3 linked regions of the Canis lupus familiaris genome follow. The protein of the gene in region 1 interacts with the protein of each later gene in a biochemical or structural test. Links are inferred from orthologs where the notes say so. Each region holds a gene or a part of one and is shown in the gene's direction. Other genes may lie near its edges.

Region 1 (10,918 bases):
CAGGAAGTTGTAATTGTTGATTAGTGATCACTCTAATAAATATAATAATATTGAAAAGTTTGAAATATTCTGAGAGTTGCCAAAATGTGACAGAGCCATGAAGTGAGCAAATGCTGTTGGAAAAACGATGCCAATAGACTTTCTCCCACAAGGTTGCCACAAACCTTCAGCTTATAAAAAACATGGATCTTTGTGATGAAGCAAAGCACAATAAAATGAGGTATGCCTGTATAGACAACTCCTGGCAGTTTATTCCAGTGAATTTGGTGGTGATGACATGGTATAATACTCCAATAATCCTTTATACCTGGTTTGGCATTTCTTATTGAATTTGTGACACAAAACCAAATATTGTAAGGTCCAGTTCAGGAGGAGGAAGAAAGCTGCTTAGATCCTGTATTTCCTATACTACTCTCCTCTGCTGGGAATGGATATTGCACCTTTCATAGATCTGTCCTTTTTCTCTCTCTCTTTTTTAAAGATTTTATTTTTACTTTTAAATTAAAAAAAAAGATTTTATATATTTATTCATGAGAGACACGGAGAGAGAGAGGCAGAGAGACATAGGCAGAAGGGAGCAGACTCCTTGCGGGGAGCTAGAAATGGTACTTGATCCCAGGATCCTGGGATCACGACCTGAGCCAAAGGCAGATGCTCAACCACTGAGCCACCCAGGTGCCCCTAAAGATTTTATTTTTAAATAGTTGGCACCCAACATGGGGCTTGAATTTATAACCCCAAATCAGGAGTCACAGGCTCCTCCAAAGGAGCCAACTTGGTGCCCCAGATCTGTCCTTTCCACAGCACTTCTTGTTTAGATGTCTCAGGAAAGAGTGGTGAAACAATCATTAGGAATTCTTATTTAAATGAGTTTTCTAGCTGTTGATGGTTTTGAAGTTGAAAAAAGCAACTTTGTTTCGGTAGCTTACTGATGCATTCTGAGTGGAAATTTGGCTATAACTTAAGCTCAGAAGACCAACCTGAGAATTTATCGTTCATTTTGTTTTTAGTATTGTTAATATATTACTCCTTGCTAATTATACATTTTGTAACCAGTGGTGTTTTTTGTTTTTGTTTTTTTTTAAAGTTTAAGAATCTTTTAGGACAAGGAAAGAGTGATTTTTGAGGGTGTTGTTTTGCATAGCTAACTAAGCTTATGAAACCATGCTCTAAGCAAGGTGTTGGCAACTTTTTCTATAAATGACCAGATGACAAATATTTTAAGCTTTGTGACCATTCTCAAGTGCTCAACTGTACCATTGCAGTGCAGAAGCAGCCACAGACAGTATTATAAACAAGTGGGTGTGGCTGTGTTGCAGCAAAACTTGATATAAATGGGCAGTCACAGTTAGCTAACCTTTGCTCTAAGCAACAAAGTTGATGAGGGGGGTCAGTAACTTTTCACTCCTGTGGGAGATAACTTCTGGAATGGCAGCCAGAGGAGCTCCATGGACCTCCTTCCCCCACCCCCAGCAAAACTGCCATAACTGAATAAAATTACAAAAAAACCCAACCATTTTAAGTCTGTAGGAAATGTTCTTCAAGGAATAAAGCAAATGAAGAGATACTTACTTTAGAAAATATATTTAGGGCAGCCCAGGTAGCTCAGCAGTTTAGCGCCGCCTTCAGCCCAGGGCGTGATTCTGGGGTCTGGGATCGAGTCCCACATCGATCCCACATTGAGCCTGCTTCTCCCTCTGTGTCTCTGCCTCTCTCTCTCTCTCTGTGTGTGTGTGTGTCTCTCATGAATAAATAAATAAAATCTTTAAAAAAAAAAAAGAACACATTTAACCTCAGTAAGAACAGTGAAAGCCTGTGGTATTTGTGCCACAGCCTGCTCACTGCCTCTCATACCTCTCTACCTTAGAGAGAGGGCAGGAGGCTCTATCTGGGCTGCTGTAGCCAAGAACACAGGGATCCCTTTTGCCATAGCTCTCAGTTGAGGGCTGTGATATCTTCCAGGAGTGGCAGGCATCAGTAATTCTCATCAAAAGCTCTATTCCAGTCAAAAATGGCCATTTGCAGGGTGCGATCCTGGAGACCCGGGATCGAATCCCACATCGGGCTCCTGGTGCATGGAACCTGCTTCTCCCTCTGCCTATGTCTCTGCCTCTCTCTCTCTCTCTGTGACTATCATAAAAAAAAAAAAAAAAAAAAAAAAAAAAAAGGCCATTTGTAGGTACAGGTTCTATCAAAGGCACAGCAAGCTAAGTATTAGGAACCCATTCACTCTTGCCCCAGCTTGCATGTAGAGCAGAGGTCTCACACTGGCCGAGGTAAGCCAAGAAGATGACAAGTGGCATCTATACCCAGCACTCTGCTTGTAAAGTAAGGGTGTCATTCCAAGAGACACTGGCCCCTAGGTTGGGAGGAGCTGGGCTAAGAGGCAGATTGTAAAAACAGAACTCCAAAGTGTCCCCCTCCCCTACCACTCAAGGGAACTGACTTTATTTGAAACAAAGCTTGGGGACATTCAAGTCTAAGAGTACAGCCCAAAATGGACATTTTGAGGTAAGCAATTAAGAGGAAGCTGGTAGTTCCATGAGAGCAACAAGCTAAACCATAGATTAGTTAGAAGTTTACCAGACAGAATCAGAGAATACACAGCTAAGAAGAGCCCCCCTGGGATCAGAACAACAACAAAAAGACTGGCTACCAGTCTTTTAAAAGACTAACCTACAAAGGTGGGGCCTGAATTTAATTGGATTAGACTGATGAACAATTTATGTCCCAGGGCATTGTCAAAACCTGGAGAGCAATCAGCCCAGGAACTAGGGAAGGCTCGGGTATGATGCCAGCAGAGGCTGACAGCCTGACATTGACCAAGGCAACATTGAAAGACAGCTTGCTGAACCCACTGTCCTCTAGGTGACCGCACCTGCCCAAGGCTTTGTTTTCTGTGGACTGGCAGCATGGTCTCCTACAGTGGGGGAAGTAGATAGCAGTGAAATAGTCTAGCCAGCTCACGAAAACAGATAAATAAAGGACAATAAGAAGATGAAGAGTGGGTGTTTAGTATCCACAGTTGGCTATATTACTTAAAATGTCCAGTTTGTGGGGCACCTTGGCTGGCTCAGTTGGTGGAGTGTGTGACTGTTGATCTCTGGCTTGTGAGCTCGAGCCCCATGTTGGGTGTGGAGATTACTGAAAAAAATCTAAAAAAAAAAAAAAAAAAACCTAAAAAAAAAAAAGATGTCCAGTTTGCAACAACAACAACAAAAAAAAAAACGAGAAAACACTCAAAGAAGAAAGTATAACTTATAAATAGGATAAAAAGCAGGCATCTAAAGCTGCCTAGGAAAGGGCCCAGATGTTAGACTTAGCAGACAAAGCCTTTGAAGCAGCCACTATAAATGTCCAAAAAACGAAAGGAAACTGCTTAAAGAAGTCAAGGAAGGTATGATGACAATATCTCATCAAATACAGGATATCCACAAAGAGTTAGAAATTATAAAAAAAAAAAAAAAGAAAAAAGAAAAAGGTTGGAAATCCTGGAGTTGAAAAGCACAATAACAACAACAAAAAAAGGTACAATAACTAAAATTACAAACTCACTAGAGGGGCCCAAGAACAGATTTGAGCTGCCCAAAGAAAGAATCAGCAAATTGAAGACAAATTGATGAGACTGAAGGGAAAAAAAAATGCAGGAAAGTGAATTGAAGAGACCTCTTGGACACCATCAGGCATACCTAAACATTTTTTGGTAAAGAGAATAAATACCAAAAGGAGTACAGAGAAGTAGAAAAGATATTCAAAGAAATAATAGTAGAAAAAACCCCAAATTTGATGAAAAACCTGAATTTACATATCCAAAACCTCAATAAGTCCACAAAGGACTTATAGGATAAACACAGAAGAGATAATACCCCAATACATCATAGTAAAAATGAGGAGAGTAAACAATCTTGAAGGCAACAGAGAAATGATTCACCACATCCAATGGTACTGCAATTAGACTGGGAGGCTCTAGGGATGCCAGGGTGGCTCAGCAGTTGAGCGTCTGCCTTTGGTTCAGGGTGTGGTCCCGGGGTCCCAGTATCGAGTTCCACATTGGGCTCCCTGCTTGGAGCTGGCTTCTCCCTCTGACTGTCTCTGCCTCTCTCTCTCTGTCTGTGTCTCTGATGAATAAATAAATAAAATCTTAAAAAGGGGGGGGAGGGGAGGCTCTAGAGTTACTTTTTTAATTTAAGCAGCATTTTTTTTTTTAAGATTTTATTTATTTATTCATGAGAGACAGAGAGGCAGAGACTTAGGCAGAGAGAGATGCAGGCTCAATGCTGGGAGCCTGGTGTGGGACTCAATCCCAGAACTCGAGGATCATGCCCTGAACCAAAGGCAGAAGCTCAACTGCTGAGCCACTCAGGCGTCCCTAAGCAGCATTTCCTAATGAATATGGATTATTCTTGTGTCTTAAATGATAATATAAAGCAGATTTTATGAATGGTGCAAATTATGTTCAAATTATGGTTTATTGTTGATGGTGTTGTTAACCTGTCTTCAACAGAAGGTTGTTTTTATTTATTTATTTATTTATTTATTTATTTATTTATTTATTTATTTATTTATGATAGTCACAGAGAGAGAAAGAGAGAGGCAGAGACACAGGCAGAGGGAGAAGCAGGCTTCATGCACCGGGAGCCTGATGTGGGATTCGATCCCGGGTCTCCAGGATCGCGCCCTGGGCCAAAGGCAGGCGCCAAACCGCTGCTCCACCCAGGGATCCCCAACAGAAGGTTGTTATCCATAATTCTGTATTCCATGATAACTTTATTTACTAAGCTGAATAATACCATTAAGTTTGGTTCCTGATATAGCTATTCTTAGGTGAAAGAACTTGTCAAAAATAACCTAATTACCACAAACACAAGTTCCTAACCCAACAACCAGGGCTACTTTTGAAGACAGGCATTTGTTACTGTGAACAAAGAAAAAAAAAAGTTAGATTCTTGCCCCTAGAAAAGGAGAGGAAGAGTAGTTGAGGTTCTTCTCCACAAGCTTTCTTACCCCACCTTCTTCTTGTCTTCCTTCCTTCCCAATATTTGGCACTTAAACCTGGCGATAAGGGGTAGGAAGGAGGGAGGAGGAGAAGCAGTGATGCTCAGCAGTGGCTGGTCTTTTTTCACATGAAACTTTGTATCTGAGGATCTTACTGGGCACTTGAGGTTTGTTGCATAAAGTTCTTTCAGAAATAGGGCAGTCCTGGTGGCTTAGCGGTTTAGTGCCCCCTTCAGCCCAGGCGTGATCCTGGAGACCAGGGATTGAGTCCCAGGTCGGGCTCCCTGCATGGAGCCTGCTTCTCCCTCTGCCTGTGTTTCTGCCTCTCTCTCTCTCTCTCTAATAAATAAATAAAATCTAAAAAAGAAAGAAAGAAATAGGACAAGCATATTTATGTAATGTGTTGAGACATTACCAGCTATCAACCACTGGTTTAAATTTGAAGTGGCTTCTAAAATCATCAAAATAAGTATTAAGCTCAAGATGCCCTGATACCGATTTATTTTTCTTCCCAGCTCAAAGAGAAGATAATGTTAACACATACTCGTTTATATTCACTGATGAAGATTCTGAAGGAAAGAACTCCTGACCAGCCCAAGCCAGAAAACTGATCCAGGATTAAAGCTTAACTAGGGGGATCCCTGGTTGGTGCAGTGGTTTGGCACCTGCCTTTGGCCCAGGGCGCGATCCTGGAGACCCGGGATCGAATCCCACATCGGGCTCCCAGTGCATGGAGCCTGCTTCTCCCTCTGCCTGTGTCTCTGCCTCTCTCTCTCTCTCTCTCTTTCTCTCTCTCTCTCTCTCTGTGTATGTGTGTGTGTGTGTGTGTGACTGTCATAAATAAATAAATTTTAAAAAAATAAAGCTTAACTAGGTTCAGGTCTTATTGCTGTCTTCATCAACAGGAGTTCTCAAGGAAGAAAGATTGGCTAAGAAGAGATGTGAACTCTATTCTCACCTTGAGGCTGATTTTCCAAATGATTTGTGAAGCTTTGTCTAGAAAATGAGAAACAAAGGAAACCCCTACCCAGGTTTCATAGCTATTTGCCTTAAGAACTTATTTTAGGGTGGCGCAGTGGTTTAGCGCCTGCCTTTGGCCCTGGGCGCGATCCTGGAGACCCGGGATCGAATCCCACGTCGGGCTCCCGGTGCATGGAGCCTGCTTCTCCCTCTGCCTATGTCTCTGCCTCTCTCTCTCTCTGTGTGACTATCATAAATAAAAGAACTTATTTTAGCTTATCAATTTCATAAATGTTTGTTTCTGAATACATATTTTACTGCAAATGTAGGTTAAGAGGCAGTGTCCTGCAAATGGTCTGACATAAAGATATACGGCTGTTATGAAAACAGAGTTGTATTTCATGTTGACTACTTTATTCCTACATGGAGCAGTTGTGATGATGAAGATAGAAAACATTTTTTTTCTTACATGCAATATACGTACAAACATACTCTGTAGGTAATATTCAGTAAGTTAACTGGAAAATATACAATTTATCTTTCTCTTTTCATTTCTAAACTGAGCCTACCCAGGTAATAATGAGAGAAATGATAAAACATTCACCAAAATGCTGTTTTTCATATTTTGCTTTATATACCACTTACACTCAGTACCTTGTCATATTATTCATTTAATAAAAGTCTACTAACTTTGGGGATAAAAGGTAAGCAAAAAGAGCCACTCTCTACCTGCACAGAGCTTTTAATCTCATTAGAGGTGGACGTTCAAACAACCACATGAATACATGTGAAATTATTACTATAGTAAAGGTTTTGAAGAAAAGAGACCTAGAGCTACCAGCACATGAAGCAGCTACCGGACCCCTGGGGTTGGAAAGGCTGCTCTGAGGAAGTGGGATTTCAGCAGTGGTCTGAAAGACTAGGAGTTAATTAGGGAATGGAGGGGGACCTGTGGAGAGGCCCTTAAAAGAAGGCCTGCAGGAGGTGAACTAGTGGCCAGAAACCAGAGGGTACAAGGACTTATTGGATGATGTTGTTGTTTAAGATTTTATTGATTTATTCATGAGAGACACAGAGACAGGCAGAGGGAGAAGCAGGCTCCCTATGTGGAGCTGGATGCAGGACTCCATCTGGGACCCCCCAGATCACACCCTGAGCTGAAGGCAGATGCTCCTCTGCTGAGCCATTCAGATGCCCCCTGGATGTTTGTTTTTATCCCAAGAACAATGGAAGCCTTGGTTTCACTTTTGTAGAACCTTGCTATGGTTGTCTTGTGGAGAAGGGGTTTATAGGGGCAGAAAAGCAAGCAGACTACTGAGGGGCTGGCAAGAGCCCAATCCAGATAAGAAACAGCCAAGTGGTGGTGTCTAGAAAAGTTGACTTGGTTCAGATGTAGCTGGCAGCCATTTTTAAAGTTCTTTCCATTCTTTCTACTTTATATTGCATAAAGCCATTTCCCTTTAGAAATATTTTAAACAAGAAAATTCTGATTTGCTCTATGCTTTTGAGTTGCAAAATTTGATTCCATAAATAAGGGTGAAATCTTTGGCAACAAATAGTACCAGAGGGAACCTGAGTGGCTCAGTGGTTAAGTGTCTCCCTTCGACTCAGGTGATCTCAGGGTCCTGGGATTGAGTCCTGCATCGGGATCCCTATAGGGAGCCTGCTTCTCCCTCTGCCTATGTCTCTGTTTCTGTGTCTATCATGAATAAATAAATAAATAAAATCTTAAAAAGAAACAAGTACTAGAAAAACTCGTATTTTCTAAAGAATGGACCTAATAAATCAATACTATATTAAATCATCCTGGGATTTTTTTGTGTGTGGGTATGTTCTTATGTAGCTATTTTTCGTAATCTCTGGACTTGCTGATTTGGCAGAGAGTTCAATAGAAAATTACATGCTTGACATGTGCCTTTGGCTCAGGTCATGATCTCAGGGTCCTGGGATTGAGCCCCATCTCCGGCTCCCTGCTCAGCTGGGAACCTGCTTTTCCCTCTCCCCGCTGCTCATGCTTTCTCTGGCATGCTCTCTCTCAAATCTTAAAAAAAAAAAAAAAAAGTAAATGTTTAAACTTAACATCAAATTAAGCTGGCTGGCTTTAGATATTTTCCCCCTAAATACAAATTACAGTAATGCTTACTCTAGAAAAAAAAATTGCAGATATAAATAGAAAATAAAGGGTGCAAAGTACACTTCCCTTTCCATCTTTGAGAGGCATAGGATAGCATGCTGGGAAGCTCTAGAGCCAAATTATTTCTATTCACATGTGTTTTGGATCTTACTAGCCATGAACACGAAGAATTTACTTCAACACTTCTTGTAAAATAGGGATTAAAACTAGGGCTGGTTTTGGGGTGCCTGGGTGGCTCAGTTGGTTAAGCATCTCCCTTCAGGTCATGACTTCAGGGTCCTGGGATCGAGCCCTACATTGCATCAGGCTTCTTGCTTTGCTTTCTGGCTCTGTCAAATAAATAAAATCTTAAAAAACAAAACAAAAAACTAGGGTTGGTTTTTTCCTTTTGGGGAGGACGGCATCCACAGGCATTCAGAATGGTCCCAGCATTTGACATACTATCAAAGGCTGTCCTACAATACAGCCTCCAACAAAACTAGGCTGGTGATAGAATCACCCTGGTGATAGAATCGTTTACCTTTATACCAGGAAGATTGGGAAAGCCCCCAAATTCACATGTAGCATGTGCCTAGGCCGACTTTAAGTACATGCTGTGAGACCTGCAATTCTTATTAGGTTCTCTACAATGAGAAAATGTGTCGGCAGGGCCTAGGGTGGCGGTTCCATGTATGTGTTCATGATGGGATCAAGTATGCTTTCCTTATTGAGGAGCAGAAAATCATTGTGAAAGTGTTGAAAGCACAAGCACAGCGTCAGAAAGCTAAATTAAAAACTGAAGCTTGGGGCAGCCCAAGCTGTGGCTCAGCGGTTTAGCGCTGCCTTCAGCCCAGGGCCAGATTCTGGAGACTTGGGATTGAGTCCCATGTCAGGCTCCCTCCATGGAGCCTGCTTCTCCCTCTGCCTTTGTCTCTGCCTCTGTGTCTCTCATGAATAAATCTTTTTTAAAAAATGAAGCTTTTTTGAGAAATTCAGGCTTATTCTGTTTAAAAGAAAAAAAAAAAAAAAAAAAAAAGCCAGGGGTGCCTGGTTGGCTCAGAAGACCATGTGACTCTTGATCTCCAGCCCCCACAATGACTGTAGGGATTACTTAAATCTTTAAAAAATAGCTAGGGCTGTAGTGAAGATTCAATAAATTAAGAAATACATCTAATGTAATTACAGCAGTGCTTAGCACATACTAGGTGCTCAAAAAATATCTTCTATGCATGTGGATGTTCATGTATTAGACATAAAACAAAGCTTTATCTTTCACAGTATTCTGCTTTTCACACAATAAATATCACAACTTTCCACACCAGCCCATATGCAAACTATTTTATTTAAGACCTGTATGATTCAGTGATGTGAATGTATCCAAACCTAACCATTCTTGTATTGGACCCTTGTACCTATCTTTGCAAATCTGTACTGGTATTTCTGTAAGAGTGAGTCCTAAAGTGGGAAAGTCAAAGGCATGTATGTGCATTTACAGTCTTGATTTTATGTCTCCCATAAATGTTACACTGATATTATAAATGGTTGGCTTTTTAATTCCCCTTTTAAAGGAGTCTTTGGGTGGTATAAGAGTTCCTATGAGGGACGCCTGGGTGGCTCAACGGTGGAGTGCTTGCTTTCATACCCAGGGTGTGATCCTGGTGTGCTGGGGTTGAGTCCCACATCGGGCCCCCTGCATGGAGCCTGCCTCTCTGTCTCCCACGAATAAATAAAATCTTAAAAACAAAAAAAGTTCCTATGAAAGTCTAACAAACATCAATGATTTATATTAAGATACTGTCTACTTTGCTCCAATGTGATACCATTTAGCATTGTATATGTTGAATACAGTATTTTCAAAATTCTGTAGTCCTAAGAATAAAACTGCATATTGAAATTCCTCCTGAGTTGTAAACTTTTAAGCTCCTGAGTTAACAGTAAAGACTATCTCCATTTTTGTAACCCTAACATCTAGCACAGTACCTGGGATTGGAGTATATCAGTGTGTGCTAAATGAATGGTCATAAATCACAGGGAAAACTCTTAGTGATTATACCACAAAAATGACATAGCTTAGGTTCTTCTCCATTTGAGGATAGCCAATCCCAAGGAAGTTTATAAGATCTGCTTTTTTTTTTTTTTTTTAAGGTCTACTTTCTTACTTTAAACTTGACATAACTTTCCCCTGAATCAAAAAGGAACTTTTTTTCTTTTTTAAGTAGGTTCCACCCCCAGAGTGGAGCTTACTCACAACCCTGAGATCAAGACCTGAGCTGAAATCAAGTGTCAGATGCTTAACTGACTCAGCCACACACGCTACCACCCAAGGATCTCCGTGTTAATAAGCCTCTTTAATTAATTTAGCTAATATTTAAATATTCAATGTAAAAGCATTTAAAATGCTTTATATATTTCAGATAGGAAGGATTCCCTGCAGTGGTTTTATTAGTACTATTACTGTACTTAGCTATTTCCTTACCAGAAACTAAACATTTTGCTAATTACCTAGCATAAGGTTGGCTCTAAAGGTGGGAATACCTAAGTTTAAATGGAATGCCTCTTTGTTCAGATGGCTGCCAGTTTCCTTGGACTATAGCAGAAACTGCTACAACTTGGTATCAACACCCAAATCTTTGGTCTTTTCTGCTATCTGGAGCCTACCTCAGTCCAGGTCTCTGCCTTGGCTCTTCCCATCTCAGTAACTTACTGCATGATTAGAAATTACCCAATCCAAGTAATGAGTAACACAGTGAAGTTTCAGTGCATTCTCAGCCCATGCTGCTTTATTGCCAAAAAAAAAAAAAATATATATATATATATGTATGTATATATATACACACACACACAGGTGCA
Region 2 (10,017 bases), on another chromosome or scaffold:
GTAAAGTGGGCAAGAAAAATTTCCAAAGGCTGAATGAATACTGAGGAAAGTGGTTATGTTAGCTGATAATCAAAGGAAAAATAAATAAATCATATGTATATATTCTAAGTTACAGAATCTTTTACAAAATAAATTATCTACTAACAAAAAGCAGTGGAGATACTGATGTAGTCATACATCAGTGGATGTAAAATGAATCATACCTTTTGGAAAGCATGGCCATTTTCAAGAACCATTAGATCAATTCTATTCATTGGAATTTATCCTAAGAAATTCAAAAGAAGCCAAACTCCTGACACAGATAGTCACACAGATTTCTCTTCACAGCAGAAAACTGGAAGCAATGTATATGTCCAAGAAGGATGTTCTTCATAAACAGATACAATAGAAAGTGCAAATTTGAAACTATTTCTAGAATATAAATATAAATGTTAAGAGTATTAAGATTAATGCAAAATGGATATAGACAATGATAGAGGTGTAAAAGTTCAAGGAGTTGTTTTAGTGAGCTTAACTTCAAGAATAATATTTTTATTCATTTTTTAAATATTGTTATACGTCTCCAATATTAAAAGGCTATACAATGCTTTAAGAATTTAGTAATCATTATCTGGGCTCTTTTTGCCTATACAGATTATAAAGAATTTTATATAAAAAGTATTTTAAGGGGATCCCTGGGTGGCTCAGTGGTTTAGCGCTTGCTTTCAGCCCCAGGGTGCGATTCTGGAGTCCTGGGATCGGGTCCCACATCCCTGCATGGAGCCTGCTTCTCCCTCTGCCTGTGTCTCTGCCTGCCTCTCTCTCTCTCTCTCTCTCTCTCTCTCTCTCTCTCTCTCTCTGTGTCTCTCATGAATAAATAAATAAAATCTTAAATAAATAAATAAATAAATAAATAAATAAATAAATAGTATTTTAAGGGAGCCATCTGAGGCTTTTACTGTGTTCCAACTACATAACAGCCATGGTCATTTAGGGGTTATATCCTTTATATAATTCTACCATCATTTTAGGTTTTATATATTTTTTGGCTTAAATGCAATAGTAGCAACATTTTAAAGACAAAAATAATAAAACAAATAGTGAAGTAAGTTCATTTTCTGTAGCATAAATCCACTTTCTCTAAGGCTTTAATGTAAAGATAGGCAAAATCTTAATGAAGGATTGAATTATTTATTGGAAATGCGTATACACAAAAGTTTAATACTGCTTTGGTTCCTATTAAGTGCCAAGCATAGTAATCAGTGAATTAGTTCTGTTTTGTTCTGTTTACCCAGAAGTAAGGAAACCATAACCCATGGGTCAGACCGGGCAGACCACATTTGTTATAAGAAAATTTTATTAGAACAGAGACATATTTATTGTTTACATAGCTATGTCTGCTTTCACGGCAGAGTTGAATATTTGGGACAGATACTGTATGGACCATAAAGCCTAAAATATACTATCTGACCCTTGACAGAAAACATTTGCTGATCCCTGGTCTTTCCACAACTTTTAGAAATAGGTGTCATTGTCTCCACTTAACACAATAGAACCAAAGTTTTTTTTAGAGGCTGAGGCTCTGTTAACTACTAATGTGTTTAGAGATCTCAGCTGGAAAATTATAAGGAGGAAAACAACTTATCAGCCCACCTAAGAATATTTAGTGACAATGAGAAATTCCATGTTAGGGTTGCCTGCTGGCTGGTAACAATTATTTGTTTTCTAGTTGCCAAGTCTCCAAGACAGTGCAGAAGAAGATGATATTCTGCTGAGTATGGACAAAAATCCAACAACTCCATCATCAGTTGTCTTTCCATTGGCAAAAACTCCTCAGTGTCACCATGTCAGTCCTGGCATGCTAGCTTCTATAAATAGGTAAATATGCATATATAGACTGTAATTCTCTGCATCAACATTTAACATTTCATGAGTCAGAGAGTAGATGTCGATAATGAGAAGAATCATCATTAAACAAAAAAATCAAGAATAGTTCCTAGAAGTTCAGGATGGACAGTTTCAATAAGTAGAGAATATTGTTCATTAGTGTAGGGACCCAACTTACACTTTACATCAGGATAAATTCTAAATGGATCAAATTTTTTCACATAACAAATTAGACTATAAAATATACCTAAAGAAACCTTGGAGGATTATTTTATAATCATTGATAAGTGAAAGTCTTTTCACACTATGATGCTAGACTCAGAATACACTAACAAAAAGAATCATAAAGTCAACCAGATAAAAAGTTTTACCCAACTACCATAAGCAATAAAAAGATAAACAGTGATCTGACAAAAGAATATATGGAACTCATCAAAGGAAAAGGCTAATTTTCCTAACGCAGCACTCCTATGGATTAAGAGGAAAGGAAAGGGATTCTCATGCATCACTAGTGAGAAGGTAAATTAGTACGGTCTCTGTGGGCAGCAATTTGTGAGTATCTATCAAAATTATAAATACACATATTTGACCTATCAGTCCTGCTTCTCACATAGTGAATATACAGCTTATTAGAGTATTGCTTATAATAGCAAAAGTCTGGAAACAGCTCCTGCCTATCAGTAAGGGACTAATCAAACTGGTACATTATGTAGCCATAGAAATTAATGAAGAAAGTCTTAATGTACTATTATGGTAAAACGTTCAAGATCTAGTAAGTGAAAAAAATGCAGTGAATAATGTGTTAACATTTCTGTAAATGTGGTAAATTGTGTAAAATTTGTATAAACGGGCTGTGTGTATACTTGTGTATATTTGCATATATACATGTATATATACCTAATTGCTTTCCTTTGATTAAATATCTGAAAGAATATATAACTGAAAACACTACTGATCCCTACAAAGAGAACCTAGATCACTTGGAGATGAGAGAAGGAAACTTTTTGAATTTTGAACTATGTGAATATAGATACTTGAAATATAAATAAAACTAAGAAAAATCAGGGACAACCAGCAGTTGAATGACAGAGAAAAGAAGGAAAGAAATAAAAATGAGGCCTGAAAATAAGTCATTCCATTTGGCAATCAAGCAGGACTTTTATTAAGAGTAATTCTGTGGGTTGTGAGGCAGAAGCCAAGTAATAATGACTGAGAAAAAAGTATTCAGTCCTCTCCTGAGGGTCGGTGAAATTTTAATTTGCATTTATTTGGTAAAAACATAATTTTCATAATTTTTCCCCAGAAATCTACAGATTATTTTTGATTTAGTATTCATTGCAGATGAAAGTATACTAAGAATATAATTTTGGGCAAAGCTTTTGATAAGTACTTTGGCCAAATCATCAAAAGCTTTAAGATATTCATCCCTTTGGCCCTTGAATTTTCTTAGTCACTTATAGGGAAATACATTTGGGCAAGTATGTATGTACATTTGTACGGACAAAGATGTTTGTCATGAAACATAATACTGAAGATATGGAAATGACCTAAATGTCCAATAAAGAAAGTTAAGAAATGAGGATTTGTCCACATTATAGGATAGGATATAACAATTAAAAATCATACCTTCAAGAATTTTTAACAACCAAGAATAATGTTCAGTTGACAATAGATTTTAAAAGCTAAGAGTTAAATTATAAACAATATCCCAGTTTACATAATATGTATTCAGAAAGGAAATTTCTTGACTATAAACATCATAGCCATTATCTCTAGATTGTAGAATTATAGTGAAGTGAGTTTTGGTGGTGGTGGTTTTTTTAATATCACTTTTGCAATGATGGAAATATACTTTCCCCTCCTCCCCAATAGAACACATGGTAGATTCATTTATATCATGACTATATTTCCTAAAACATTTATTTCATATAGGGCAACGGACTCATGAGGTGCAGATCCTTGAACAGCTGGCTAGGCTTATTCACTAGCTATGTAGCAGTGCTTGTGGTTCACATTAATATCTTAATACAGTCACACATTTAGAAATATGTTATACCTTTAAGGTTGCTCCCAAATTTTCATAAAGGAACGGATAATTGATCATAAAGGATCTTGAAGCTAAGAGAGAATTACAATTGGTGTTCAGCTGGTATTTACTGTCATAAGGACTAGGAATTGTAGGGGGAAATGAGAATAGCCATTCTTGAGACACCTGGGTGGCTCAGCGGTTGAGCATCTGCCTCAGGACGTGATCTTGGCCCCCAGGCTCCGTGTAGAGAGCCTCCTTCTCCCTCTGCCTATGTCTCTACCTCTCTCTATGTCTCTTATGAATAAATAAAATCTTTAAAAAAAAAAAAAGAATAGCCATTCTCTGTGGCTTCCATTTGTGTCTGTAAAATGAGCCAAACCTATTTGCTAAGAATGAGAGGGGGAGAAAATAAGCTAAAAAGAAATGACTCAGGAGTTAGTTGGAAGCTATAAATTGAGGGTTTTCATCACCAGGTATATCCTTAAAGTGGTTAACTATTTGATGTAGACAGGAAAGCAAGTAAACAGAAAGGAGTAAGAGGTCTAATAAAAGGGAGTCCAGGTAGAAGTCACAGTGAATTTTGGAAAAGAGAGGCAGCAAGATAGTGATCAGAAAGAGCACTGAACAATGAGCAAAACCATAATTTCCTATTCTTATTTAATGTTCCTTTAAAATGTTAAGTTGAAATGTTTTGTCCATTTCCATCAGTACACCATTGTTTTTTAAAAAATGGAAAAGACGTGGGCAGCCCAGGTGGCTCAGTGGTTTAGTGCCACCTTCAGCCCAGGGCCTGATCCTGGAGACCCGGGGTCGAGTCCCATGTCTTGCTCCCTGCATGGAGCCTGCTTCTCCCTCTGCCTGTGTCTCTACCTCTCTCTCTTTCTCTCTCTCTCATAAATAAATAAAAACTTTTTTTACAAAGTAGAAAAGACAAATAGACTTTTGTTTTTGAGTCTGTTTCCTGGTTTGCCGGTTTGCCTTTTTTTTTTTTTGGCTCATGTTCATGTTTTGTTTCTTAAATTCCAGATAGGACTAAAACCATATGGTATATGTCTTTTTCTGACTTAGTTTTCTTAACATTCTACTTTCTTGTTACATCCATGTTATTGCAAACAGCAAGATTCGATCTTTTATATGGTAGAGTAATATTCCAGTATGTGTGTGTGTATGTATAGTAGATTTATGTTTATATATTTTATAAAATATATTAAATACCTAATATATTTACATATATATATATATATGTGCACTTGTATTAAATAATGCTGCTCTAAACATTGGGGTGCACATATCCCTTTGAATTTGTATTTTTGTGTTCTTTGGGTAATACCTACTGGTATAATTGCTGGATCATAGGGTAGTTCTATTTTTAACTTTCTGTGGAACCTCCAAACTGTTTTCCACAGAGGCTGTACCAGTTTGCATTCCTGCCAACTGTGCAAGAGGATTCCCCTTTCTCCACATCCCCACCAACACCCATTGTTTGTACTGTTGACTTTAACCATTCTGACAGGTGGAAGGTGATATCTCATTGTAGTTTTGATATATTTCCCTGATGATCAGTGATGTTGAGCATCTTTTCAAGTGTCTATTGGCTATCTGGATGTCTTTGGAGAAATGTCTATTCATGTCTTCTGCCTTTTTTTAATTGGATTTTTTTTGGGGGGGTGTTGTGTAAGTTATTTTTATATTTTGAATGCTAACCCTTTATCAGCTATGTCATTTGCAAATATCTTTTCCCATTCCATAGGCTGCCTTTTACTTGTGTGGATTGGTTTCCTTCCCTGTGCAGAAGCTGTTTATTTTGATGTAGCCCCAAAAGTTTAGTTTTGCTTTTGCTTCCCAGAAAAGAAAATTTATATATATATATACTTCCCAGAAAATACACTTTTTCCCAGAAAATATACTTCTTAAAGGTTGAGACACATTTAAAATTATTTTTGTCAGTTGCTATTCAAGCTGTGGATAGAAATATGGTAGTTAACTGTTGACTTAAAATTTTGTATTCAAACAGGAATGATTGTGATAAATATGTTTTTCGTATGCAAAAAAACCATAAAAGTAAAGGTGGCATTGTCTGGGGCAATATCAAGAAAAAAACAGTAAGTATATTTATTCTTCATTTATTCATCATGTCTATTGAACAACTGTAATACATGGCAGATTGTGGCAGTTACAAGTTATGTAAAAGTTCTTGCCCTCAAAGTAGTTAATCTTAGAGAATGACAATTTATCGAGGACCACCTTATCACCTGATTGTATATTCCTTCTCACCAGACTATGGCAATGTCTTCTTCCCTTATCCATGTTGAAATATTTATATTGCATACTTTCTAGAGTATAATTCTTCTCAGAGAATTTCTAAAACATTGGGATTACATAATCACATCCAATTTTTATGGTTTCATTTGTCCACAGGAAATGGTAGATACTTCTGGACACAGGTTTAAAAATCAACCTGGAGACTAAACTCTTTAAAGGATATCTCAAAAAAAAATAAAAAAAATAAAAAAAATAAAGGATATCTCCAAAATTGAAGGTGTAGACAAACTATTTCTTAGATTCCCTTTTCCCAGTCCCACATTCTTTATGAGAATGAAATTTTGGTTTGTTGCAAAGGACCTGGAATCAACATAGCAAGAAGGATTTGGTTGGCTTCTGGTCCCTATTTTGCCTGTGAAAGTTGGTTGCTTTGACGATTGTTTCACAAACTTGAATGTGCAAAGGCATCACCTAGTGATCTTGTTAAACACCAGATTCTGATCCAGGGATTTGAGATTTCTGCTTTTTTTTTTTTTTAAGATTTTATTTATTCATGAGAGACACAAGAAAGAGGCAGAGACAGGCAGAGGGAGAAGCAGGCTCCATGCAGGGAACCCGACGTGGGACTTGATCCTGGGTCTTTCAGGATCACGCCCTGGGCTGAAGGTGGTGGTTAAACCGCTGAGCCACCCGGGCTGCCCGATTTCTGCATTTCTAACGGGCTTCAGGTGCTAATGCCTATGTTGCTGTCCATGGACCATACTGAGTTAGTAGCAAGATCCTAATCCACTCAGTCTGTTCTCTGCACAGTGATGAAAAATTCACGTGGACAGATCTAATAAGGACACTTCCTATTAAGAATATTTGTTTCGGGATCCCTGGGTGGCGCAGCGGTTTGGCGCCTGCCTTTGGCCCAGGGCACGATCCTGGAGACCCGGGATCGAATCCCATGTTGGGCTCCCGGTGCATGGAGCCTGCTTCTCCCTCTGCCTGTGTCTCTGCCTCTCTCTCTCTCTCTGTGTGTGTGACTATCATAAATAAATAAAAATTAAAAAAAAAAAAAATTTGTTTCTTTGTATTTCTGGCATCATCCTAAACACTACTGGACTTCTGTTTTTCTTAATGGGTCATAATTTTAGCAGTCTCCTGAACTACATAATATCCTTGTGATTTAGTCCTTTTTCATAGACTAATATTTTGTCGTGTGTGAGGATAGAAAGAACAAAGGATTTAGTGTTAAAAGTTCTGATTTCAAGCCCTAACTCCTCATACCAGCTTTATAAGACAACAAGCTACTTGGGCTTTCTAGTTTCATTTTATTTATGTATGGTATCAATGTAGGAATCATGATACTGGTTTAATGTTGCTGAATGATTTTGAGAGCTAAATGATAGAATAATGTTTTTAACTCATTTCACAAGAAAAAGTACAGTTATGTCACAATCTGAACAAGAGTTTGTATCTCAAGAGTTTGAACTCTATTTTTACCCTTAGTACACCACTATACTATATACCCTGTCATATTTCCTTTCTATTCCTTTTCATTTTTTAAAGATAGCCAGGCATGGCCAAAAGTTTAAAAAGCATTGATATAATAAATATGTATTTTACACTTAAACTTTGTGATATAAATTACTATTTTAGACAATTGAAATTTTGCTAGTGTAATGGAATAACATGAGTACTTAGATTTTGGCAACTGTCAGAGGCCCATAGACTATCCTTTCACCCCTGTAGCATTAATTTGTAATATTTTTTTTCCTTTTTCTTTTTTCTTTTTTTGTAATATTTTCTTATAGTCATGTTTGCCAGTGGTGGGAAACAACATTGAAGAAGTGTTCTTACCCTAGATAGATTAAACTGTGGAAAAAGAATTAGACATTTCACAGATAATCATAATGTGATTAGGTATCATTATAGGCATGTGTTCAAGGTACTCAGGATGAAGCATACTTATTTTGTCTGTGTTTGAGGCAGAACTCACAGGAGGTACTATTTAGCTATTAACATGAACTCTCTTGCAGGTTGAAACTGATTTTTCAACTCCAACATCAAGAAAAAAAACCCTGTTTAACAAAGGTAATTTATTTTTCTTTTGTAACTCAGTCTATTATAAGTTAGTCTCTGTATTAACATGGTACTAAAATTAACTGCTCTGAAGTGGGCAGATCTATTCAATTTCTCAGTTCTTTTCAATTTCATTGAAATTACTTTTAGAAGTATATTAATCTTTTATTAAACTTCTTTTTACAGAATTAAGAGAAAACTCTGGTATTGGAAAACTTTTCGCTAATGCTATGGAGTCTTTAGATGAAGAAGAGAAAGATTATTATTTTTCAGACTCTGATTCTTCTTAGTAAAAATGAGAAAATATTTTCAGGATTTTTATCAAGAAGCAGATAATATATTTGTATCTTCTTTTGGAATACATATATTTTCTTCATAATATACCATCATACGAAATTGTGGATTCCTCCTTAGAGGTTTTAGGAGATGAATAGTTAACAGAGGGATGTTTTACTCTGAATTCATCTAAAACATCTTTCTGTAACTATTCCTCATTGCTGCAGGTTACTAAAATGTAAGGAAATTGTTTTGCTTGTATAGATACTTATGAATTTCTGGGTTTTGCATTATTAAAATATTCTACATAAGTATCTCTTAACCGTCCAAGTTTGTTTACGTTAAGAAAATCATGTTCCATTTTTTTTAAAAGCTTCCCAGAAAATGCTATCCTCAAGGGATAGGGGAGGGAGAATGAGAAGTAGATAGTACTGCCAGCTACTAAATTCATGAAAACTTCCAAGTCAGCATTTGTTACCACTTGGTATACAAGCCAGAATTGATCTAATGTTTAAATTACATGTTGTTAAAACTATGTAACACTCTATCTTGTGATTTTTTTCTTAAAACTTGTGATTAGCATATCTCTGAAACCTATGTAAATTTGTTGTTTTTCAATATTTTATTAGGTAGAAATCAGAGAACAAATTTTGTTGCACTATGCCTTATTTACATATGCAGTTTACATTTGGTCTCAATGTTAAAACGACTGGATTAGACTTTTCAACATTCAAGTAGTTGATCTACCACCAGAAGTTAACGTGCCATGTCATAGTAACATTATTTTCCTTTCAGACAGCTCCTTTAGAAATAAACCTTTTTTTAGCCTATTCTACCACTCTGTTTTGAAATTTGACATAGAATAGTTTTCCTTTGGTTACAGTGTATATACACACTTACTCTTTCTCTCCAGTTAGATTGTTTAAATAAACTTGGTTTACTTTTGTAACTTTATATTTTGGTTGTTGTTTGATTACTGGATCATAGAAAGTAAACAAATATGCATTCTGTTACTGGTTCAGCTCCTTGCCTCAAAAATTACCAGAACTTTCACTAAAAACTACATGCTCATGTTTCTTAAGAGTTTAGTAATAATCAGCAGTTCTAGAACTATAGAATTTACAGCAACACAAGATTTAAAAATAATATTGCAGCTAGACTTAGATCATAATGGTTTCTGCCACAAAGAATTTAGATGGAGGATGGAACAAATAAAGGGATTATTTTAGAGTCAAATACTGTTTTAGAACTTAAGTTGCCAATACTTGGGTTTATACTATTCTGCTTAATGTTAATGGATTTTTTTTTTAAGGAGTTAGTTAGAAGGTAGTTAAATTCCATAATGGGAAACAAAAAGATAATTTTGATATAGCACAGACTTAACACAAACCAAAAAATGTGGCCTCCCACCACCACTGCCACATTCCCTGTGTCCTGCTGGAACTTCTTCAGTGTCCTTCCTGGTCTATTTTGTTGTATCCCACCTGCCAGGTACCTGATTAGTCACATTTCTTCCC
Region 3 (10,837 bases), on another chromosome or scaffold:
TAATTTTCCAGAATGTCCCTCAATTTGGACTTCTCTGGACATTCTCAAGGTTAAGTTCAGGTTAAACATTTTTGGCACAAATACTACTCGTCTCTCTGTCCCGTTGTTGGAGATGCATAAGCCTGGGCACTTAGCCAAGGAAGGATCCCCCAGGTTTCTCCCTCCCCCAGAGTTGTCTGGGTTTCCCCTTGAGATCACCTGGGTCCCCACAATCCTCACATCCCATGGTTTGGGCGTCAGACCACAACTCCTACCTGAGTCCTGCTGCAAAGTCACATTTTTCTGGTCCTGCCATTCCTCCCATGTGCACCTGTTGGTGTTGTTGCATATATATATAAGCTTAGCCGTCTCACTTCTTTGCTGAATTCTGTTTCTTCGTTTATCTCTACATGCTTTTTATTTAAAAAAAAAAAATTTTTTTCTAGAACCAAGAAGAACTAGACTTTTATTTTTAATTCACATGTTAGAAACCACTAATGCTCGAGTTGTCCCAGATGCAGGCTGCAGGAGCCCTTCACGCTGGCTTCCATGTCCTGTGGCCCGACCCGTCAATTTTGAGCACGTCATCCCCTCACCCCGGCTCCAGCCCCGCTGATCCCCAGCACCAAAACCCTGTGTTCATCTGGTTGGTCGTGCAGCATGGAGCCGTTTGGAGTCACGGCCCCTGCCACCACTTGCCGACAACCTGCTAAGGAAGGTTCTGGAGTTCCAAGCAGCTCTTTGATCCTCAGACCGTATCCCTCTGAGGGTACGCGTTCAGAATATTGTGTTCAAAGTCATTTGGATTCTTTTTCCTCTTTCCGTTATTTATTTGATATGCACCTGGGTCCTTTCTGTGTCTGTTTTTGCTTTTAGGGTTCTCCTTATCTTTGGTTTAATTTTCTTTCTTTCTTTCTTTCTTTTTTTTTTTTTTTTTAAGATTTTATTTTTTTATTCATGAGAGACACAGAGGCAGAGACACAGGCAGGGGGAGAAGGAGGCTCCCTGTGGGGAGCCCGATGTGAGACTCGATCCCAGGACCCCAGGATCATGACCTGAGATGAAGGCAGACACTCAACCACTGAGCCACCCAGGCGTCCCTTAATATTATTTCTTAAATACATAACACATTTAACATGATGTGAAAGTTAAGTCTGCATGAAGATCTGTCTCGGGAGCCCTGTGCCTTCCCCTGCTTCCCCAGCCCCGCAGGTAAACAGTGTCACTGTATTGTTTCTAGTGAGACTTTGAAAAGGCATCCAGTGTGTAAACCATCACCTGGGGAAGGAAGGCCCCTCTAGGGAAGTCTGGGTTTAAGTTTGAGAAGAATCTATTCCCACATTCTCCTGGACTTTCTGTCTTGGTTTTTGTATTGCTTAAAAACAGCGTCATGGTCATGATCCACCCTCCTTTACTTGCGTGGTCTCTGCAGATGACACGCACGCACATCACTTTGTGTATGTTTTCCTCCAGGGTGCTGTGACGTGTCTGGAGAGAGTCCTGGCGACCCAGTTGAGCCAGCTTCATGTCCCAGAGAGTGTGATCCTTCACGCCCCTGCTCGGCAGACCTGGCCCTGGTGCCTAGAAGCGACAGTCTCTGGCTACACGGGGCCGGGGGGAGCAGCTTCTCAAGCAGCCCACCCCTTGAGGCTGACAACATCTGTGACGTGACGATCAGCGACCTGTACGCAGGCATGCTGCACTCCATGAGCCGGCTGCTGAGCACAAAGCCGTCGTGCATCATCTCCACCAAAACCTCGTTCATCGCTCACAGCTGGAACTCCAGGCGGAGGCACAAGTGTAAGAGCAGAATGAACAGGACGCGTTGCCGGGGAGCCGGGCCCTCTCGGAGGGGTCCCCAGGACAGACTCCCTCCCTGTTCTGAGCCAGGGAAGAATAGGGAAGTGTTAAGAGATTGTGAGAACGTACTAGATGCTTCTGGCCAGAAAGCAGATTTAAAAATGGAAAAAGCTTTTCCTAAAGTAAACAAACTCAAGGTCTGCAAATTAGATCCAAGTTGGAGGGAGTTTAAGGGGCTAAGAAGTTTAATGTCCCAGAGGAGTTCTTCGATGACTTACGGAGATGCCAGGGCAGTGCGTCGTCTTGATCGGGAAAATAGATTCATGGCATTAAAATGGTTAATTTCTCCTGTAAAAATCCTTTCCAGACCAGGAGTACTGCCAGGCAAGGGAGGGAATCATTACAGGCAAATTGAAATCAAATTTGATAAGCTTCATCAGGAATATTGCCCCAGCCCCGGGAAGCAGCCCTGCCTGACTGCCCCCCCAGGACCCTCGGCTGTGGCCATGTACAGGGGTGACCCAGCGAGCCCTCGCGGCCCCCAGGCCTTAGAAATCCGCAGTCTCAGCGGGCTTTTCTGCAGAGCCGAAGCCAAGAGGTCAAATGAGGCTTTTGAGGACCTGGGTGAAGGAGCTATTGGAGCAGGGAGACGCCTGCAGAGGAGGAGCTCCCCTCCCTCGCTTCCAGAGACCAGCTCCACGCAGAGTCTCAGCCGCTCTGAGCAGACGCTGGACCTTCTTTCTCAAGGAAACAATCTTGGAATACTTGGAAAGTCACTATCCCCCAGCAGAACTAGCTCAGTAGCAGGGGTACTGCCTCTAAGCTGCGGAAGGGATCGTTACAGTGAAATTAAAGAAAAATTTGACAAGCTTCATCGAGAGTATTGCCAGAAATCGCCGAAGCGGACCCAGGCGCCTTTATGTATCGGAGCACCTCCAGAGAGATCAAGTGTGGAAGCCCCGTATCCAAAAGGAGGCATCTTAGAAAAATTAAAACCAGACTTTGGCTTCCAGGGTCCCCCAAAGCTGTCAGCATCACCCCAGCGGAGCAGAGAAAGCACGCCGGGCTCAACCACACTCGAGTGCTTCATGCTCACGGCCAGGAGGGCCCACCAGTCCCCTCCAAAGAGACGCCAGTTATCAGACTCCCTGCTGTATGGACAGTGGGCCAGTTCCCCGGATTCGTCGCGTGTGGTGGGCCAGGCCACCCTGAGGCCGGGCGAGAGCCCAGCCCTCGCCAGCCCCCCTGGGAAAAGAAGGTGCGTTTCTGTTGGTTGAATGTGGGTGTTTTGCAATAGGATTCTTCTGCATTCAGTTTCCAAGCTTTCTCCCAAATTCTTTTCCTTCCTCTGAAACGAGCATTTATACCAAGAGCATGTTCATGTATAAGACGCATCGAGGTGGAGCCGAGAATGTTCCGACTGGGAACATCTTACACTTTTCCCGCCGGAGTGCGTTCAGGGGTCTTCTCTGAAAAGCCTCACTGGTGTCCTCGTCAGGCTGTCCTCCCAGCCTCTCCTGGTCTCAGGCAGCAGCTGCCACAAAGCTGATCTGGAAATAGTGACTTTCCTTCTATTTCTGGATTCCTTCCTGGGGACAGCGGGAGCGGCCTGCTCGGCCCCGCGCTCCTGCCCTGCCCACGATCTCCGTGCTCCACGGGGAGGTCTGTCTGCTGTCCTACCTCGCCCTCCGCTTGGGTTTGTGTGGACCCCTCAGTGACACACGTGTGCCACTCTCTTTTCTCCAGAGAAGCTTGGCGGAGGGGGGAGCATTGCACATCACGGCGGGTTGTTCACCTGTTTCACATGAGCGCCAGGCTTTCCAGCGTGCACTTCAGTGTATCCCCAGGCCAGGATTCAGACACGTGACTCCTCGAGTGTACGTTTGGGGGTTTGTGCGTTGGTGGTGTGGGCAGGCGAGGCCACGTAGACCACTTCCTGCTCCCTCCTCGGCGGTCGTTCAGATGGACCCCGTGTGCCCTGGACGCCCCGTGTTCTCTTTGTGCCATGATCCCATCTCAGGGGCAGGTGTGTTTCTCTCAGAGATAAGCCCCAAGTTGTCACTGTCACCACCCCTCAGACCCCACAGGTCCTTCTCTGCCTTTGCTTATACTTCTCAGCATTCAGACCCACACGGCTCCCCTCGGAGAATATTTGCAAAAACCTTGCAGTGCCTTGGCCACAGCAGAGGCTGGGTGCAGGAGCCAGCTGCCTCCTCCGAGTGAGCACAACGTGTAAGTGGCCACCCCGGCTCCTGCGGCTACGTCAAGGTCAGGGTCAGAATCGTGGTCTGGTCTTTCTTCCTTCTTCCACTTCTTGGGCTGCTCCTGTTTTCTCCACCTACCATCTGGCTTGTGCTCCCCGAAGCCGCTCCCGCCACCAGCACGTCCCGTGGCCTTAGCCAGGTGGGTGGTAGCCTTTGTCAGATTAACCAGACCTGCGTTGTGATTGATCTTTCTGGTCAAGGATTGAGGTCCGGGGCCTTGGTGAGGCCAGACATGGAGCTGGAGCAGAAAGGGAGGGGACTGCCCACGCCCCAGGAGGCCCTCCCCCGATAGCATGAGATCCTTTCCCTTTCTTCTGGGCCTTGTGCTCTTTGCCTGCACCCACCTCACACCAGGCCCTCAGCAGGGTAAGTGGGAGCCACAGGGAGTCCTGTGGGGCCGAGGCTTTCAGGGACCATGGCAGGGACTCCAAGGAGACTTGAGGGTGGGTACCAGTGACCCTACAGAATGACCTTCCTTCTCAGTTGAGAAGGGTTGTCACGAAGGCAGCGCCTCTAGTGAGAGCCATTCCCGGGGTCCCCCAGCCCCTGACCCGTCAGATGTCAGGGCTCCCTTGTCCACTGGCCCCGCTCGTCTAAGCCTGCACCTGCTCCTGCAGTGTCCGTCCTGCTCCTCAGGCTCAACTCTGGCTTTTCCCACCTCGTCCCCAGATTTGCTGGCAGGTCACACCGCCTGCTGGCTCAGCCCCTGGAGCTCAGCGGGTCGCTCCCCAGCCCTCTTCTGGCTCACCAGCACCCGACCCACCTTCCCACCTCAGGAGATCCCCCTTCTGGATGCCTGGCTCTCTCGTTCACCTGCCCAGCGAGGGTGCCTGGAGCAGGGACGGCCCACCAAGGTCACAGCCGTGAGCAGTGCCTTCTGCCTGGCATTGGAGCACCTGGAGGAGGACTCAGCCCTTTGTGGGGCCCTTGGTGCGCCCCTGGAATTTGATAAGTCATGGTGGCCGCCCCCTGGACGCCTTTTGCAGTTTCGTCTTAGAACTGTGATACAAACATCCTTAACCATTTTCCACATTTTTCCTTGTTTTCCTACTTAAATTACAAATGTCTTGAGGAAAGGGACCAAAGCTTCATGAGCTGTGACTACAGAAGGGATTTTAATGGCTAACGTCTGGGTGCCTTTCTGGGTGCCAGGCTGTAGAGAACGTTCTTAATCCACGCATGAACCCGTTGATGAGATGGGTTTCATCCAACAGGCGGGTTCTGTCTCTTATTTTACAAATAAGGGAATGTAGCTGAAGCCTTCTAAGTCCTGGGTTCACCCGGGTGTCGGGGGCCAGGCCAGGATTCGAAGGCCGTGGGTGTAACCGCCCGCTTGCCCGGCTGCCCGGGAGGGGTTTACCATCAGGTGGGCTTTCACATCCCTGCCCCTTTACTGTCTGTAGTGGACGCACAAACATATGCGATACAAAACAGTTATGCTTTTGATGGCTTGGGAATTCTAATGGAATTTTACTGAAACTATTTTCATTCTTTTTTTTCTAAAGGAAAGAACACCTCTTTCAAGATGGAAGAGAAAAGTGACTTTGTATTAGAGAAATTGAAAGCTGAAGACGTATAGCCGAGTTATTTTAGAGAGTTGTCTATCTTCCCCCTTCCTGTGTGTGTGTGTGTGTGTGTGTGTGTGTGTGTTTAATCCTCAAGAATATGTGAGAACTGGCTTCACTTAACTGCCCTTCAAAGCAAATGTCAGTGAAACTGATCCCATTGAAATGACTCTTTGAGTTCTTGGTATAGAAGTTATTTGAATAAAGTTACTCGATTAAAATTTTTCACGTGACCTTTATAGGCCTGTGTTCCTCCTGTGTTCTTTTTAAAATATAGACACGTCCTCGGGATGCTCTTCATTCCTGTTTGGTTAGACAACCTCCTTTGCTCTGAAACTCCTGTAAGCCACAGAGACGATGGTTTAAGGTTTAAATTCAGAGCCAAAGGCTTGGTCTCTTCCACATTAGCAGGTAGCAAATTGAAACAGTAACCCTGAAAAGTAATTCCTAACATCATAACGTTAGCTGAAAGTGTGCTCAGACACTCCTGGGATGGTCCCCAACCTCACAGCCACGTGGCGTCCCTGACATCTCAGATTTTCATTGGCGCTGCTTATAATCAGGTACCACGGTGACTTTTTAAATAAAATATTTCACATTAGGAGCACAGTGTCAGCCCATGCATTGCCATGTGTGGCAGACTTTTAAATAAAAGGTCAAAATGAGATTAAATTCTGCACGCCTTTCCTCCCTGCCCCCTTCTGATTCTGATGGTTCCCTTTCCACCGACGCCTTCATGCCAGGACATCACCTCTGCATGAATCAGCTCAAGCTGCCTTAACAGAATAAATCCACAGACCGGGTGCCCAAGCAGCAGAAATGTATTTTGCACAGTTCTGGAGGCCAGAAGTGGGTGCCCGGACAGTTGGCTCTGCTGAGGGCCCTCCTCGTGCAGGCCCCGCCCTCAGGACCTCACCTGAACTTGATCACCCCCCCAAAGGCCCTACTTTAGGTACCATCACATCAGGGTTAGGGCCTCCATGTGTGAATTTTGGGGGTTTGCATTCAGTCCTGAGAGCCGTGAATCAGAAGACCTGCGCTGAGAACCTGCCAGGAGTCTTACCCTTGCAGGCAGCTTATCCTTCCTTGGCACAGACCCCTGGGATGCTAGACCTTTCCTTCGTGCCTGCACCTTGCTAAAAGGAGCATGACCCATCCTTTGCTCTTGGTCAGAAAAAATACCCTTACCCACAACTGTGCCTTGTCACACCACCACCACCATCCCTGAGCACGCATGCACATGCACATAGGACACTACAGTTGATGCGTGGGATGGTCTGTGTATTCTCTGCAGCTTGGTTTCACCAAGAGGTGTTTGCCCTTGACAGGAGCTGATGGATGTGGGTGTCTCGTATTTCAAGAGTCTAGGCAGCTGGTTTCCTCCACGCTCCTGCTGGGTGTCTGCTGCTACGGACGCACGCAGCCGTGATCCTTGAGCACGGGCATGGGCTCCCCTGCAGCAGACCTCTAGCGGTGAGTTGGTCGTGGATACCGGTGTCGTGGATATGTGTGTCTTCAGCTTCCCCTAATGATCGCCAACTCGCCCTCCCAAATAGCTCTTCCAGTTTGTCCAGCAACAGAAGAGATCCCATGACCCCCCTGCTGCCACCAGTCGGTGCCAGGCCGGTGGAGGTGGGGAGTGTGTGCGAAACACCTTGCACGTTACATTTCTGAGGTACTGCCTTTTCAAGGGTCCTCTCAGGACTCTCTCCTTTTTTTAAAATATTTTATTTATTTATTCATAAGAGACAGAGAGAGAGAGAGAGGCAGAGAGCAGGCTCCATACAGGAAACCCGATGTGCAACTCGATCCCGGGTCTCCAGGATCAGGCCCTGGAAAGAAGCACCCCAGCATCATCCCCGGCCAGTGGCCATTCCTCCCCACGCCCGCACCACTAGGGCACTAACACCCTGGCTGGGCCCTCCTTACTTGGGTCACAGTCCCCGGCATCAGACGCCTCTTTTCCCTTCAAGAATGGGGTCCTGAGGGGCAGAGACTGCGGCAGCCTGCCTCTCCTCGCTGGTTGGCACAGGGCTGGGTGGCACTGAACAAAGGTGGATTCTGACCCCCTGGGCTGAAGGGGCAGTCTGACACCCGCACGCTCCCGGGAAGCGGGAATAAAACCGCTCTCTTGGGACTAAACCCCTCTGTCTGGGCTCTGGGATGTTGTCACCTGACAGTCAGGAATCTGCACTCGCAATGACAATGGGGGTTTATTTCAAGGGGGAGGAAAGAAAGGGACACTGATTATTTTAGAATGATGCTTTTCTTAACTAAATTAAAAATATTTTTGCATTGCCGTGCTCCAGCTGCAGCCTGGCCCTCCAAGGACGCAGTTTACACTTTACACTCGAACCACCTAGCAAAATCCTCCGGATGAAGCCAAAAGCAGGTGCTGACTACACGTATCCAAGATTTTGAGAGTCTCCAGGGCTGCCCTCCGGACCCCGGGATCCGAGTCCAGCTGCAGCTCCTGGAGAGCTGAGAGTGAGCAGACACGGGACACAATCAGGACCCAGCTCGGCCGTCCCCTCCGCCCCGGGGGCCGCTGAGCCAGTGGAAGGCCCCCTGCTCCCCCCAAGCCACCATCGTCACAGCGCGGGGCTCCCGCGGGCTGAGGAAGGGGAACCCCTGTGTTTGCAGCCAGGAGACAGCAGGTGGAGCTGTGTCTGCACACACGTCCCCCCATCTGGGCCTTCTGCTAGCCTCTAGGGGGGACACAAAGATCACCCACAGAACCCGAGCTCCATGCGGATCAGTTGAAGGAATCAGGGAGGATGCATTTCGCAAATATTCGTGATGGGGAGCCGGGCAGAAGGCCTGGGGTACGGAAGGACTCCACGCCCAAATAGTTGTCTTCCTGGGAAGCCCCCGTGCAGGCCCTGATTACACAAGGAAGGGTCGGCTGGCTCTTCCCCCAGGGGTCTCTCGAAGTTTCCCCAGATGAGGTTAGCCGTCTCTACTACTCACAGTCCCGCAAAGCCGGAAAGTCCAGTTTTTTCAGATGATGTGCAGACATCTGCTTCATAATAACGCCTGGAACGAGAGCGAGGGGAAATGCCCAGCTCACAAATATTAGGGCAGCGAGAGATTCCCTTTCACCTTTTGAGACAATCTGTGTAGGGCTCCGCTGAAGATGCTGAAGTGAGAATCAGCCAGATGCGGTGGAATCGGACACCGAGAAGGGGGGCTGGCCCCTACTCTGCTGCCTGCCCCCCTCCTGCTCCAGGCCCCGGGTTCGGGCCCTCCCGCGGCCGGAGACCTCTGCTCGCTCGCCCACCTGCCAGGTCGCACGCAGCGCTTCTGATCCTTGGCAAGTTGCTACTAACATAGGTCATTGTTCCTAGCAAGAAGCTGTAGAGCACAGCGGGTTTTTTCTGAGTCTGCAAAAGACAAAGGATGAACGGAGCCATGGGGATGAGGCCCTAGCGATCGGCTGCTCACGGAGCGCGTTCCCATCTGTCTGACGCGGGAGGGGCTAGTGCCCATCCCAGCATCACACAGCAAATAGCTGGACAACTGAGGGACCTTCGGACCCTGGTGCATCGTCTGACCCAGAGAAGAGATGACATTGTCTACAAACTGCGTGGCCGTCCAATACTGTGGCCCTCTGGCCGCGTGTGGCCCTCGAGCACTTGAAATGTGACTAGTCTGAATTAAGTATAAAGAGCCTCCTGCATTTTGAGGACAGAAACTCAAAAAAGGAAAATATCACATTAAAAATGTGCACATTAAAAAAAATAAATAAATAAATAAAAATAAAAATGTGCACATTGATTACATGTTGATATGACAACGGTTTGGGTCCACTGGGTTAAGTAAACTCTCTTATTCAATCTGGTGTCACGTCTTTCACTTTTCCTAACGTGGCTACCAGAAAACGTACGGGCACGAGGCTTGCATCCTGTGTCTGTTGGACGGGGCTGCTCTGGAGGCTTCAGGTCCGACAGGTGAGCACCGGGTCACAGGACGGAAGCCTGTGGCGGCCGCGACCATAAGCCCCAACCCCAGGGCTCCCACCTCCAGCAGGCCCAGGGCCCTCGGCTTCCTCACCAGGATGGAGCAGAGCGTTGTCTGGAGGACGGTCATCTCGTCGGCCGTGCTGCTGTCACTGCGGCCTGAGCTGCTCTCCGGCGCCTTCCAGCCCCAGAAGTGTGCACACTGAAACACGGTAGCCACGCAGGCCTGGGGGGCCACGCGGCACAGAATGGAGGGAGGGCGTCAGGCAGACCCAGGGGCTCGAGGGGCTCTCGGGGCCCGGGGGTGGGGGTGGCAGGGCTGACATTCCACCCGTGGGCCAGAGGGCAGCCCCGGGAAAGCCTCATGGAAGGGTACCCGGGACCGGAGCCCTCCGTGTGCATTTATGGAAAACCCATTGGAGGCAGATGCAGCCCACTTGCACCCTCAGCCAGCACCTCCGTGCCCTGGGCAGCCCTGCCTGGGACCTGCCATCTGGGACGTCGGGGACATCAGGGTCAGGAGCCTGGCCGGGACTGGTAGGACCAGGCGGAGCTTTCTCATCCCTAGACCCTCGCTGAGCACCGAGCCACCAGGGCCCCTGGCCTCTGGCCTCCAGCGGGTGTAGGCCACAGGAGGGGACGACAGGAGGCTGCGGGGTGGGAGAGGCTGGGCTATCCATTCCCAGGGACAGGAGTGGCAGCAGTGTGGCTGGGACCAGCCCCGGGGTTCACCTCCCCTTGGTGGCCCTGCCCTGGCCCCTCCTGGCTGCTCCTTCCATCACCTTCCAGAAGTACGCCCCACAGGGCAGTCGCCATACAGCGTGAAAGAACAGTGTGAGCCACTGATGGATTTGTGAGGAAAGCATCTCTGAGAGGTGACAGTTCCCAGCCGGGTTCTCCAGTGTCTCCAAGGGAGAGCAGGTGTCGGAGCGTACCGCAGGATGCCCCTCACTGACCTAGGGGAGCCCCCAGCACCCCCACGCCAGGTGGACACCTGCAGTCCTCACAACGGCAGGATTCTTGGGACCCCAGGGCCGGAGACATGGTACTAGCTGAGCATGAGCACCCCAGTCCACGGCAGGGAGACAGAGGTCAGGGTCACGGCCTGCGCGGGGTGAGGGGCCGCCGTCGCACAGGCGGGAGCTGCGGTGGGAGCTCCCAGCAGCAGAGGAGCTGGGCGTCCAGAGGGAGGAGAACCTCGGGGTGCAGGGCCAGGCCCGGCGGCCACCCCCTCACTACCCCCCTGCAGCCCCAACACAGGCCTGCCCCA

The links.
Region 2: the proteins of OIP5 (region 1) and MIS18BP1 form a complex in vitro, tested with the Homo sapiens proteins (2 studies listed by BioGRID). The link is inferred for Canis lupus familiaris from reciprocal best matches to the Homo sapiens genes OIP5 and MIS18BP1.
Region 3: the proteins of OIP5 (region 1) and HJURP form a complex in vitro, tested with the Homo sapiens proteins (2 studies listed by BioGRID). The link is inferred for Canis lupus familiaris from reciprocal best matches to the Homo sapiens genes OIP5 and HJURP.

What each region holds. Positions count from the first base shown.
Region 1 is NC_049251.1:8,670,079-8,680,996, reverse strand, and holds the end of OIP5 (protein Mis18-beta), read left to right. Parts: intron 1-5,510; coding exon of another isoform or gene 5,511-5,606; exon of another isoform or gene 5,607-5,894; intron 5,895-5,900; coding exon 5,901-6,002; 3' UTR 6,003-8,083; downstream 8,084-10,918. UniProt on the Homo sapiens protein: Required for recruitment of CENPA to centromeres and normal chromosome segregation during mitosis.
Region 2 is NC_049229.1:22,849,274-22,859,290, reverse strand, and holds the end of MIS18BP1 (mis18-binding protein 1), read left to right. Parts: intron 1-1,708; coding exon 1,709-1,857; intron 1,858-5,909; coding exon 5,910-5,997; intron 5,998-8,181; coding exon 8,182-8,236; intron 8,237-8,410; coding exon 8,411-8,514; 3' UTR 8,515-9,454; downstream 9,455-10,017. UniProt on the Homo sapiens protein: Required for recruitment of CENPA to centromeres and normal chromosome segregation during mitosis.
Region 3 is NC_049246.1:45,486,655-45,497,491, reverse strand, and holds the end of HJURP (Holliday junction recognition protein), read left to right. Parts: intron 1-1,452; coding exon 1,453-3,037; intron 3,038-3,525; coding exon 3,526-3,646; 3' UTR 3,647-3,656; intron 3,657-3,897; exon of another isoform or gene 3,898-4,011; intron 4,012-4,243; exon of another isoform or gene 4,244-4,973; intron 4,974-5,548; coding exon of another isoform or gene 5,549-5,585; 3' UTR 5,586-5,847; downstream 5,848-10,837. Other genes in the region: MROH2A (maestro heat-like repeat-containing protein family member 2A), read right to left, coding at 8,117-8,490, 8,579-8,644, 8,889-8,991, 9,662-9,793, 10,350-10,523. UniProt on the Homo sapiens protein: Centromeric protein that plays a central role in the incorporation and maintenance of histone H3-like variant CENPA at centromeres.